3 linked regions of the Bombyx mori genome follow. The protein of the gene in region 3 purifies or fractionates together with the protein of the main gene of each other region. This does not show direct contact. Links are inferred from orthologs where the notes say so. Each region holds a gene or a part of one and is shown on either strand. Other genes may lie near its edges. The genes, in order: actin-binding protein WASF3, probable protein BRICK1-B and cytoplasmic FMR1-interacting protein.

Region 1 (3,657 bases), on a different chromosome or scaffold from region 3:
ACGCCGCGTTTTGTCTTCGTTTTCGGAAGCGGTTTCCTAACACCCAGTATAGTATGATCACTGACACCTCAACTTAGATTCATTGTACGCATTCTATTCCCTCTATTGTTGACCGTTTCCAAGAAAATAAATCTGATAACACCAATACTCTTCAATAATTACTAAACAAATCAAAAAGATAATCGTTGGACAAAGAGACGAGAAAGTAGTACTCAAATATTTTGCCTTAACCTATTTATTCATTTGTATTTAAATAAAAACAATTGAAAGAGAACAACAGTTGACAAAATTCACTTATTCCAATAATGATCACAGGTCTAATGACGATATCGACTATACAACCTGACCAGACAACAAATAAATAAAAAATAAATAAATAAATTTGTATCGATGTCTCAATTCAATCTGATACACAGTACAATCACAATCAAAACAACAATCAACGATTTGTTTGGAAAATAATGGTCTCTTGGAAAAGGCTAGTAGAGCTCGGGGATTCTCGATTCTGTGTATAGTCCTTGTAGACATATATTTACTGGTGGTAGGCCTCTTGTGAGTCCGCACGGGTAGGTACTACCACCCTGCCTATTTCTGCCGTGATGCAGTAATGCGTTTTGATTTAAAGGGTGGGGCAGCAAAAGAATAAACTTTCACTGTCATTATCCGTCCACAAATTAAATAGCTCCTTAACATTCTATAATTCAAAAATATTTTCACTTTCTACGTAAATGAAGTGGAGGTAAAATTTAGCGTTATGCCAAAGTGACTATGCCACGCGGACGACGTCGCGGACTAAAGCTAGTGTAAACTGTATAACTCATGCAAATTTTTATTTTCCCACTATCGTAAATTTAATTCGAGAATCCTCAACAAACCTTCTTCCCTCTATCGTGCTGAATTCGTTCCGTATCTTGGAGCATTTCCCTTCGCCACAGCTCGAAGAAGTAATCGGGGTCCGTGTAGAACTTCCTCGCGTCCCTGCCGTCGTCTCTGAACTCGTTGAGGCGCTCGAGGGGCGGCGGCCGGTCACACTTGGCGTACGTCGCCAGCATCGCGGACGGCATCGTGTTGCGCGAGAACAGCTGTTGCTCGAACGAACGAGACGAACGGAAGGCCTTACGCATCTGGATGTCTTGGATGGACACTGAAAACAATCATTAGTAAGCCGAATATAAATTTCGCTAATTGTTGCTTAAATAAATAGAAAGTTGACTATTGAAATAAACTAGACCAGGGCTGTCTAAACTATACTACCTTTGCGGGCTAATAAAATTACTATATTTTTTTTCCTACCTAGCTGAGAGCCTTGAGAGGCCACTTCAGCGTAACCTTAACTAGTAGGTGAGCTCACGGGGCTCAAACCTGACGACGTTGCTAACACGAACCCTAGCAAGAGCCGTGCTTCGCAGAATCTACCACCGAAACGGAAAGCGACCCACTGAGATGATCCGGTGATAATAGTAAAAGATAGCTTTACTTTTAAATGATGACATGGAGTTGGAAAGTTACAAGAAAACAGATAAATTATACCAAATATTGATTGTATGTCTTGACAAAAAATTCTATCATTCAAACTGTTTATCCAAAACTATTTTCTGATTAAAACCTGCATCGCGGGCCGCATTAAAACAAGCTATGGGCTGGTTTTTCGGACAGCCCTGAACTAGAGACAACAGAGAAGCAGTACTGTTTTATTAACCCTTTGCACTCGAGAGGTGAGTCTCGCTCACGACTTTGTTTGATGCGGAAATTCAATGCGCTGTTTAAGCCAATTATGTTTCTTTGTTTGCTGATTTACATCTTTTTTTTATGTTTTTGATATCGTTATTTTTGTCATTAAATCATGTAGTGAGCGAGATTCACCTCTCGAAGACAAAGGGTTAATAATACAATTCATTTGAAATCATGACAACTCAGTTGAAGAGCGTAATTCAAGACCAGAGTGTAAACGCTGATTGTTGACTCCACTGTGGACTTCTTATGACCTAAATGCATTGTGATGAAGAGTATGAGTAATAATAAAACAAAAAATCACCTTCTTCAACACCGGAATCGAGTTGCGTCACCTTTATAGCGAGCCTGTCTATCCTCGCTTGGAGCACATTAGTTCTGTCCGCCAGGTTCGTGGCCTCCCGGGTCAATTCACCAAACATGTCCTCAGCATGCTTGGAGAGGGAAGAGAGTTGTCTGTAATATTGGAACAGAGTATTGGTAATAATATTTATCGCATTCTATTGCTTAGAATGGTGGACGAGCTCACAGCCCACCTGGTGTGAAGTGGTTACTGGAGCCCATAGACATCTACGGCGTAAATGCCGCCACCCACCTTGAGATATAAGTTCTAAGGTCTCAAGTATAGTTACAACGGCTGCCCCACCCTTCAAACCGAAACGCCATTACTGCTTCACGGCAGAAATAGGCAGGGTGGTTTTCGATTAATGTTTCGAGAAAATTATCTCTTCCTTCTTGAAGAGTCATTTCACCGGTTTCTGCTAATTGAAACCCACTGTGACATGATGGAATGACTATACAACTATCATATTTTATATTAGTGGTACAGGACTGAAGACCTAAGGGTATTCGAATTACGACTGACATGTTCCTTGACACGAGGTATTATGAGACTGGATCATTTCATTCTCAATCTATTCATTATAGACAAAAACAAAATAGCTAAGAAGTACCATTTTCAACTCTGTTTATCAAGCAATGTTTATTTGTTTGTATGTAATGGAATCTTTGAACGACATTTTCGCCAATCAAGACGTCCGATTAACTTGAAAATTTGCATACGCGATTCAATAGCAATAAAAAAAAAAATTCGCTCTATAATCCGAACCAGTATCAACAGGATAAAAAAAAATGAAATTAATCATTATTAACTCGGTTAGCTATTTAAGCTTGTTCTTTTTTTTAATTTATAAACTACAAATTCTTTTAATAATAATTCTTTTAATAATAATTAGAAACATTAACGATCTTATTGTTATTAGTAAGAATGAACAGATATGAGTAGAAGGGTTATTTTGATAATATCCAGAAAAGCATCCCACGCTTTTTTACAATAAAATCACTTTTTCTTACACTATTTTTAATTCAAATTTATTAAAATTTATTTTCTATTTTTTAGTTGGATTTTCTATAAAAGCGTATTGTGTAAGTTTTTTTAAACCATTATTTATTTTTCATTTTTTAGTTGAATTTCGATTTTATAATTATTTTTTTTTTCAATGATTTGTCATTGGTCCTTCTTAATAAGTATGCCAAATTTCGAGTTAATCCGACATTTTGAAGGGGGTCAAAATCATGTTCAAAGATTCCGTTACATACATACGTCTGAAGCTAATAAAAACGTATTAAAAAATAGAAACCGTTTTTTGTTATGTTTATTGAAATCTTGAGATGTCAAAGGTTGCGGTCAAATTTCGATCGATCATTAGTTGAAAGTTAGATTTATTATGTAATTTAATGCGTAGTAAGGTGGGGGTCTAGGGAACGTTGTATAGTACGCACCTGACAGTGTTCGCAAGGGTGCCATTGGTGACGGCCTCCAGTTCCGAAGGCACCGAGAGCCGCTCCGGTACCGTGCCCCGGGACACGTGCACCGGCTCCACGCAGCGCTTCGGCAGCGGCATGGCTGCGTCCACCTCCCAGCTA
Region 2 (4,345 bases), on a different chromosome or scaffold from region 3:
TAGGAAAAAAAAACAGTAAGAATCTATTGAATCCTTCTCCAAACATCAGACATGTGCACTCGAATGTACTTCTAGATTTATGTTTCAGTTTTTCGTCCGTCCCCCTCTACTTTGAGTCTGTAGTCAAATACACTACCGCGATTCAGGCAATCATCATCAACTCTCCGCGAAATTGGTTACAGTTAGTTATTTATAAATTTCTAGAAAGAGAACCACTTTGTTTTATGCATGTTCAGTCTAATACAATTGACATTTTTTCTTTACATATTTAACTTGTTTTCTTGGTGAAAGAATCAGCAACAAAGCTAATTTTGCAAATGGAATGTGCTGATTTTGGTAAACTTTAATATATAAAATTTATACATATACAAAACGTGTATAAACACATTCTTGTGTGATTCAGTTTAGTGAACTTAAAGATATAAAATTTAGACATGTATAAATAAAGATATTCTTGTGTAGCTCATTGAAAGTAACAGAAATGGAACATAAAAGAAATAAATAGATAGCAGAGGAGAAAGCGAGAGAAATTCTATTTTTATTCATTCTTGCCACAGAGTGCCTCCTAATACTAATCTCATCATGCCTAAAGCAGTGGCTTCAATAATTTAAACACACCTTACCTATATCAGGTCTTAATAATAACATATTTTTTAACATTGCTTCAAAGTAGTTCGATATATAATATGTACTTTTAATATCCAAATTTTATTGCAGTTTTGTTATACTGGAGAGTAGAGATTGTTCAGTGATTGCTACATTATTGAACTTATGTCTAACGCTTATAATTATATGGAATTTATCAAAGATTACTTCATGTTAAGGTTTCACCTTTAGTTACCTGAAAATAAAAACAATTTATATGGTAATTACTAGATTACTGGATTTGTTTATAGTCAAACTGCTACTAGGGACTTAAAAAAACCCATGGACATCAAAATAGTGCTATCCAAATTGATGCAGAAGGTCAATTTTAAACTCATAATAATTGGAAAGTATTTATCTTACTCTTGAAACAAGAATACACAATTGCTTTATGAGAGAAATGTGTACATATTTCATAAAAAAATTATGAATTTTAAGTTTCACTTCATTATTGAATGATGTTTGAAAAAATCACATCCAAACTTAGTGAGTGCTTTTTTGGAATAATTTCAATAGGATTTTTTATTTATTAATTTATTAGTTAGTTAGGAACTTTTTTTTTGCTGTAATTTGCAGCAGCAAGACTGCTTCTGGCAGTGCAGAAATTGTTGGGCAACAATAACCACTCATCATCAGGTGTGGTGTTTCCTCATTTGTCTAAAAAGGCAAAAAAATACAAGCTTCATCTAGAAGATTTATGATGTAATGCGTATGATGTCAGATGCGCATTTGACAACTATTTGATCATATCGACGCTTGAAAGGCAAATGTGACTAAGCAACAATAACTGCTTTGTACATAAATGATAGGCAATAACCATATTTGATGCACAGAAAAAATATATTTCTATGTCTATTAAAATCATTTCAATCTTACAGCTACTAGCTAGATTCTACTACAGATAGATTCATTAAAATAAATTTTGTTTTCAGGTATTTCAACTTTAAATTAGTCTACTGTAAAGTTTACGCATTGTCGCTTAGTCACGTTTGCCTTTCAAGCGTCGATATGTAACTACTTACACAAGCTTCCAAATAATCAATCTTCCTCTCTAATGATGTTAATTTTTCATTCAAAGTGGCAAGGCGAGATCTACAGGACATGTCTGAAAATTTGATGATATTATGATAATTTCACATTTATAAAGACTTACATTTTTTGACCTGTTTTAACAGAATATTTTCTATGGGTTCTGCAAGTTGTAGACAACAATAGTTGTAGACAACAATAGTTGTAGACAACAATAGTTGTAGACAACAATAGTCGTAGACAACAATAGTTGTAGACAACAGTAGTTGTAGACTACTTTTTTGTTGTATGTTTAATTGAAAATATATTTACAGTTTAATCTCCCATTTTTATTGTTATTTTATTATTACCATCGTTTCGAAAACTACATTTTTCACTGACGACTGAGATTTTTCCATTCCTTGTGTTTTGAAAGGCGAGTACCTTATCCTATGAAAAATTAATAGTGTTCTGAATTTGAAATTAAAATGTTTCTTGTTTAAGAACCTCCTGTAGCTGCTGATATTGATACACTTACCGAACGAATTGAGGAAGTCTGTAATTTTTTTTATGCTGCCTGTGATCACTTCTATGTATTCTCTGTTGGCCCAATCCTGCTGGATTTGTTTCTGTATTGTTTCTCTTGGAGGCGTCGACATTATATATAATCAGTCACGACTTATTTTAAATAGCTTATAAAGTAGATTTACTCTGTACTTAAGTATTTTAAAAGAGTTATCAAGTTTAATTAATGAATCAAATTGAGGTAAATCTTTTCATTCATTCAGTGTTTCAAACAAATAATAATAGTTTGACATTTGACAGCTTAGAATTTTGCTCGTTGATTGTTCTAATTGAGGCAGAGGATGCGATGTCAGCTTAGAATCAGAATCCACTACAATATCTCTACTCATCAGTGTCACAAAAGTCGACGAAGTCATTCACCGTGGAGTGGCAAGCAGCGTTCCTTGAGTATACCGTCCTATTGCGATCTCCAAACGACATTTTCTTGTAGTAGGACGTATTGTTAGCCCTGGGCAGGTATATTCACCTATTGTAGTTCTACTGCCTAGCAGTATACGTTCCGAGATACAACCGTTAAACCATACAAATGAAACTTTGATCTTGTGTCTCAAGGTATGTGGCGGAATTTATTTTGGGATGTCTATGGGCCATGGATGTGGTGCTTTAAATCAGGCGAGCTATGAGATCGTTCTCGTGCTAATACATCATACGTAGCATAAATATCCAATTGTTTTTGTAAAGAAGGTTAATTTTTTATTTTTTTTATTTCAAGATTTGGCTGTACGAGCAATGTGCCCTTTTCCTGTTCAAGTGAACAAGATGAACAAAAAATGACAACATTAAACAGCTGTTTGATTTAGGACTTAGGTTAGAAATTAACTTAAAAAAATCTGTATCTGCAATAGCCTATAAATTACCGGCTTACAAATTTTACACAGAAAACATAAAAATGGACGAAATCGAATACAAATTGAAAACTAACAACAGTGTCTTAATAGTCAACGCAGTAGAAAAGTTGATAACATTGATAAAATCAAAATTCAAACGTGAAGAACGACAGAGATTCGTTTTGGAAAACGAGGAATTGAAGTTTTTGAGGAAGAAATGTTCGTCCAAAGATCCTGTTGTGAGCCTGACAGCCTGTCAAGGACTCCTAGCGTTGGTGGAACTCGGTGTTTTGGAAATACCGCACACAATGTCCACTGTAGTAACACTCATACCGACTGCGCAGTAAGTACACGAATTCTCATTAAGTTTCCATATGGTACATTTAAAACTAAACTTAGTATAAATAAATTGTATGTTGATATTTTTGTAGTATCTCAGCTACTTCATTGCAGTGAGGTTATACTCAATTTTGTCTTATTAATTTTGATGTAGTATAAACAAATATGTATTAGGAGTACTAGTATTTATAATTAAAACAAAAAATATAACTAAGTAGCTTTTCAAGAATCAAAATAAAGACTATAAATTGATAAGAATTAAAAATACTTTATCAAAATAAATGTTTAAATATTAATTTATATTGTTTTCAAAGCTATTTCAATTTAATTACGTATCATTAGTATAATGTATTATATAAAATCAGGTATACAAGTAATAACTAATTGTTGTTTTATTTTCAAAATGGCCTCATCCACAAATAGAATAAGTTGGTATGTAACTTGATCTTGCCTAAAAGCAAACTTTTCATTCGACTTCATTGATTTTATTAACATTTATACCAAACACTCATAAACCATTCTAAATGTGCAAAGTAAATAATGTGTGTGAGCTTTAGCTAGGAAATTTGAACTTACTGGTGTAAGGGAAATTGATCAGCACATTTTTAATCCCTTGCCTTTTTGTCTCAAAGTAAACAGCTACCTTCTGTGGACCACATTAATCATTCAGCAGACCCTTTAGGAAGTCTGCATACAGAGTGCATTATAATCATTGATTTGATTAATCTTGTAATCCAAAGTAAACAGAAACATTATCACCACTTTTGTACATGTAACTTTAAATAATGTATACTTTTCGGTGTCAAAGAACTTGCTTCATAATATAAACATTATCAAAAAATTTTGCTATCTTTGATTTTTCGAGTCATATAATTAATGCTACTTTAACTTTTGTAATTTGCATTGTTGTGAAAACCCCATTCTTGACTGTGAAAAAACTG
Region 3 (3,801 bases):
CTACAGCATAAATGCCGCCACCCACCTTGAGACATAAGTTCTAAGATCTCAGTATAGTTACAACGGCTGCCCCACGCTGCAAACCGAAACGCATTACTGCTTCACGGCAGAAATAGGCGGGGCGGTGGTACCTACCCGTCCTACCACCAATATAGAGTTTGCCAAGTTATGATGACAGAGGAAGATCATACCCTCGTCGTAGAGTAAATAAGTGCGTAGGCGTTCACTGTATTTTAGCAATTTAATAATACCCTCTTAATACACAGCAGCTCAGTTGTCTTCCAAATCTCTCTTGTAATAGGGAATGCTGTGTATAAAGGAGACGACCTATCTCGCTTTGTCCTCTCCCTCTCTCGACGGTCGAGTGGTTCGCGAGACGCTCTGTCTATTCTCTCACTCTCGCTCTTCCTAACTTGTATCTTAACTCTCTTGCCGTAACGAAACTGTCGCGAGTTTAATTTTACTCTCAACGCGCCTAAAGAAGTTTCACTTCAAAAATGCGACAGTCTTAAAAGTACTTAAATGTAGGTAGGTTCTCACTCTCGTTATTTCCAAATCGTATCTTTTGCCTCTAGCCGTAACGAATATGTCGCAAGTTAAATTTTACCCTCAACGCCCTTAAAGAAGTTGCACTTCATCTATAATGTTGAACTGTCAGGGAACTGTTCGGCGAGGGTCTCCATTGGGCCGGCTGCACCATCATCGCTCTCCTGGGGCAGCAGAGGAGGTTCGAGGCGCTGGACTTCTGCTACCACATCCTGAGGGTGCAGAGGGTCGACGGAAAGGATGAACTGGTCAAAGGCATTGTGAGTGCGCCGCCATATAACAAAACTTTAGTAATACTATAGTGGTCTTCCCTCAGTAGTCGAAATACTTGAAATTATAAGTTTGAACATTATTATGGTTCTATTGTCAAAGACTATTTATTATACTTCTATAATCAGAGATTTCGCCAAGACTACAACTATAGACAAATAATATTAATCTATTCTCAATTTGACCACACACTTTTATTTATTGTTTATTGTCAAACTTTTGTTATTGTTCAAAGTCTGTGTAAAATTGTAAAAACAAAGTAATTTCAATAAATTATATTTGTATTTCGACTACTGGGGGACCACTAGTTTATATTAAATTACAAACACTTTATTGAAATTAATATTTCTTCCAAAAATAAATTTAAACTTTAAATGGCTCTCCGGTAAAGTTACAAAAATGTCGCTTAAACCAAATAGTCTTTCTCCCCTCGTTATATATATGTATACTAGCTGTACCCGTCCGCTTCGCTGGGCATTTAAAATTAACATTATTACTTCTCAACCCCACAAAGATTCTCATCATTAACGCCCCCGCAACCGGTGTAGGGAGTCCAAAACTCATATAAATATTAGCCTATCCATTAAGTACATGTATTTTTTACATGAATACCAAGTTACAAGTCAATCGGATGCACGGTTCTGTAGTTATAACGGAACATCCGTAAAACCACTGTAGATTGATATACTAGTATAGATTTATGTATTACCTGTGTCCGCAGCCCCTCAAGCGGATGGTGGACCGCATCAGGCGGTTCCAAGTGCTGAACTCGCAGATCTTCGGCGTGCTGTCCAGGCAGCTGTCCGCGGACGACGCGGCCGGCGTCGAGCACGTGCGCTGCTTCCCGCCCCCGCAGGCGCCGCTTACGCTCAACTGAGCCGCCGCGCGACCAGAACTCGACGAAAATTCCATTTTTTTTTATTACTTAGATCAGCCTTTCCCAAAGTGGGTGATAACGCCCCCTTATGGGCGCTGAAGGCCTAAAGGGGGCGGTAAGAGACCCAGAAAAAAATTGGGGGCGCTGTGTAGAGGTTTGGGAGGCAATTTGTAATTTTATCTAGAAGGACTCTTAGACACCGACTGAGCTCTCTCGCTATAGAGGTCTTGAAGTAGGTGATAAAATGGGGGCGCTAAAAAATAATTTATTCTCAAAGTGGGCAGTAGACAAAATAAGTTTGGGAACCCCTGGTTTAGATGGTTGGACGAGCTCACAGCCCAGCTGTTAAGTGGTTACTGGAGCCCATTGACATCTACAATGTAAATGCGCCACCCACCTTGAGACTAAGGTCTCAGTATAGTTACAACGGCTGCTCCATCCTTCAAACCGAAACGCATTACTGCTTCACGGCAGAAATAGGCAGGGTGGTGGTACCTACCCGCACGGATTCACAAGAGGTCCTACTACCAGTAATTGTAATTATACTTTTAACGTCTATTAGCCTTCAGTAATTTCAATTCCATTTGAATTTTATGTTGTTTGGCTGTTTTGTTGATGTCCATGAGCCACGGTGACCTCATGTGGGTCATATACCTACAAAGTTCATAAAGGGCCAACAATATCGATTTGTGATTACACGGTGTGCCAAAAAAGTGCTTCACAGAGCTTTATCTCTGAGCCCCTCAACTTACCATCAGTTGGGCCGTATGCTCGCCAACCTACAGTAGCGATTGGAGAGAATCTGAGATATTAATGTCCTTAATATCAAAGCTCGCGATGCCTTAATGGTGTAGGAACTAAACATTTTGTAACACCCTGTATAATTGTTACTATGATATAATTAAAACTAAGCCATTCCTATGACGTACACGTGGGGACGCTTATGATCGTCTGAGCAGCGTTCTAGACGCGCATGTCACTTGTAATTGTAATAATATTAGTTTTTTTTTAAGAATATCTTTAGAGGCATTAAGACGGACAAAAACTAAAAAATATTTTGGTATATGTACTGTGGTATACATACTTACGCATTTAGACAGACAGACACTCCAATTTTATTTATTTGTGTAGATATATAAATGAGGATTTTTGTAAAATTATTTCGAACTCAAGACAAATAGTATTAGAAAGTAATTATTTGAAGCGATTTGATTTTTACTACTAATATTAGACTTTTTGGCTCGATTTTTTTGTTATATTGTATTAAATGTACTAAAATCATTGTCTAATATAGTAATTATATTTGTAATGTTTTTATAATTGTCGGAGAATTGAGAAGCGAAATGTTTTGTACGCTATACATTGCATGCTCATGATACTCTTTGTATTTATTACTGATACATTGAACGTTTAAATTTTATGTTTAGATAGCCGTCTCGTCTTCTCCATTTTTAATATATCGACAACACATTGACATTGTCAATAGTAAAGTGCGCGTATGCCAATCTTGCAGCACTCAATACTTGTGTTGTTTCTCAATACAATTTTATTATTAAATATAAATTAAATCAAAGCTATGATAAATAAATTGTGTTTTATTTTGTAATTTAGTTAGTCGCTGGATAAAATAATTTTAGTATATTTTAATGATGACAACGAAGCATAAAGTTCTCCTTGGATGTTCGAAGGTTACTGCAATGATTTTTTATATAATTTTTTTATTGCCCTATTATTAAGTATATATTAAGTAGAGGGGGAAGAGGTCGACCCAAGAAGACATGGATGGAGTGTGTGAATGACGATATGAGAGAGAGAGGAGTGAGTGTTGAGATGACGGCTGATAGAAGAGAATGGAAGAGAAAAATTCGCTGTACCGACCCCACCTAGTGGGATAAGGTGAAGAAAAAGAAGATTTTTATTCCCCTATTAGGCGGTGGAGCGTACGGCCCACCTGATGGTGAGTGGTTACCGTCGCTCATGGATCAACAATGCCAGGGACAGAGCCGAACAGCTGCCTACCGTAATCTCCACAATCTCTTCAGAATCAAGTTAAATGCCTCATGTCTCAAGGCGAACGGGTCAAACCCGTACTATATGTGTCTCAAATC

The links.
Region 1: the proteins of cytoplasmic FMR1-interacting protein (region 3) and actin-binding protein WASF3 purify together in Drosophila melanogaster (affinity purification with mass spectrometry; 3 studies listed by BioGRID, with this or other methods). This does not show direct contact. The link is inferred for Bombyx mori from reciprocal best matches to the Drosophila melanogaster genes Cyfip and SCAR.
Region 2: the proteins of cytoplasmic FMR1-interacting protein (region 3) and probable protein BRICK1-B purify together in Drosophila melanogaster (affinity purification with western blotting; 4 studies listed by BioGRID). This does not show direct contact. The link is inferred for Bombyx mori from reciprocal best matches to the Drosophila melanogaster genes Cyfip and HSPC300.

What each region holds. Positions count from the first base shown.
Region 1 is NC_085109.1:3,372,366-3,376,022, reverse strand, and holds part of actin-binding protein WASF3, read right to left. Parts: 5' UTR 3,636-3,657; coding exon 3,514-3,635; intron 2,188-3,513; coding exon 2,036-2,187; intron 1,145-2,035; coding exon 876-1,144; intron 1-875.
Region 2 is NC_085125.1:1,885,387-1,889,731, reverse strand, and holds the start of probable protein BRICK1-B, read right to left. Parts: upstream 2,823-4,345; 5' UTR 2,313-2,822; coding exon 2,192-2,312; intron 1,751-2,191; coding exon 1,668-1,750; intron 842-1,667; coding exon 815-841; 3' UTR 1-814. Other genes in the region: focadhesin, read left to right, coding at 3,128-3,408.
Region 3 is NC_085117.1:1,809,063-1,812,863, reverse strand, and holds the end of cytoplasmic FMR1-interacting protein, read left to right. Parts: intron 1-658; coding exon 659-806; intron 807-1,537; coding exon 1,538-1,693; 3' UTR 1,694-3,281; downstream 3,282-3,801. UniProt on the Drosophila melanogaster protein: Plays a role in guidance and morphology of central and peripheral axons and in synaptic morphology. Also required for formation of cell membrane protrusions and for bristle development.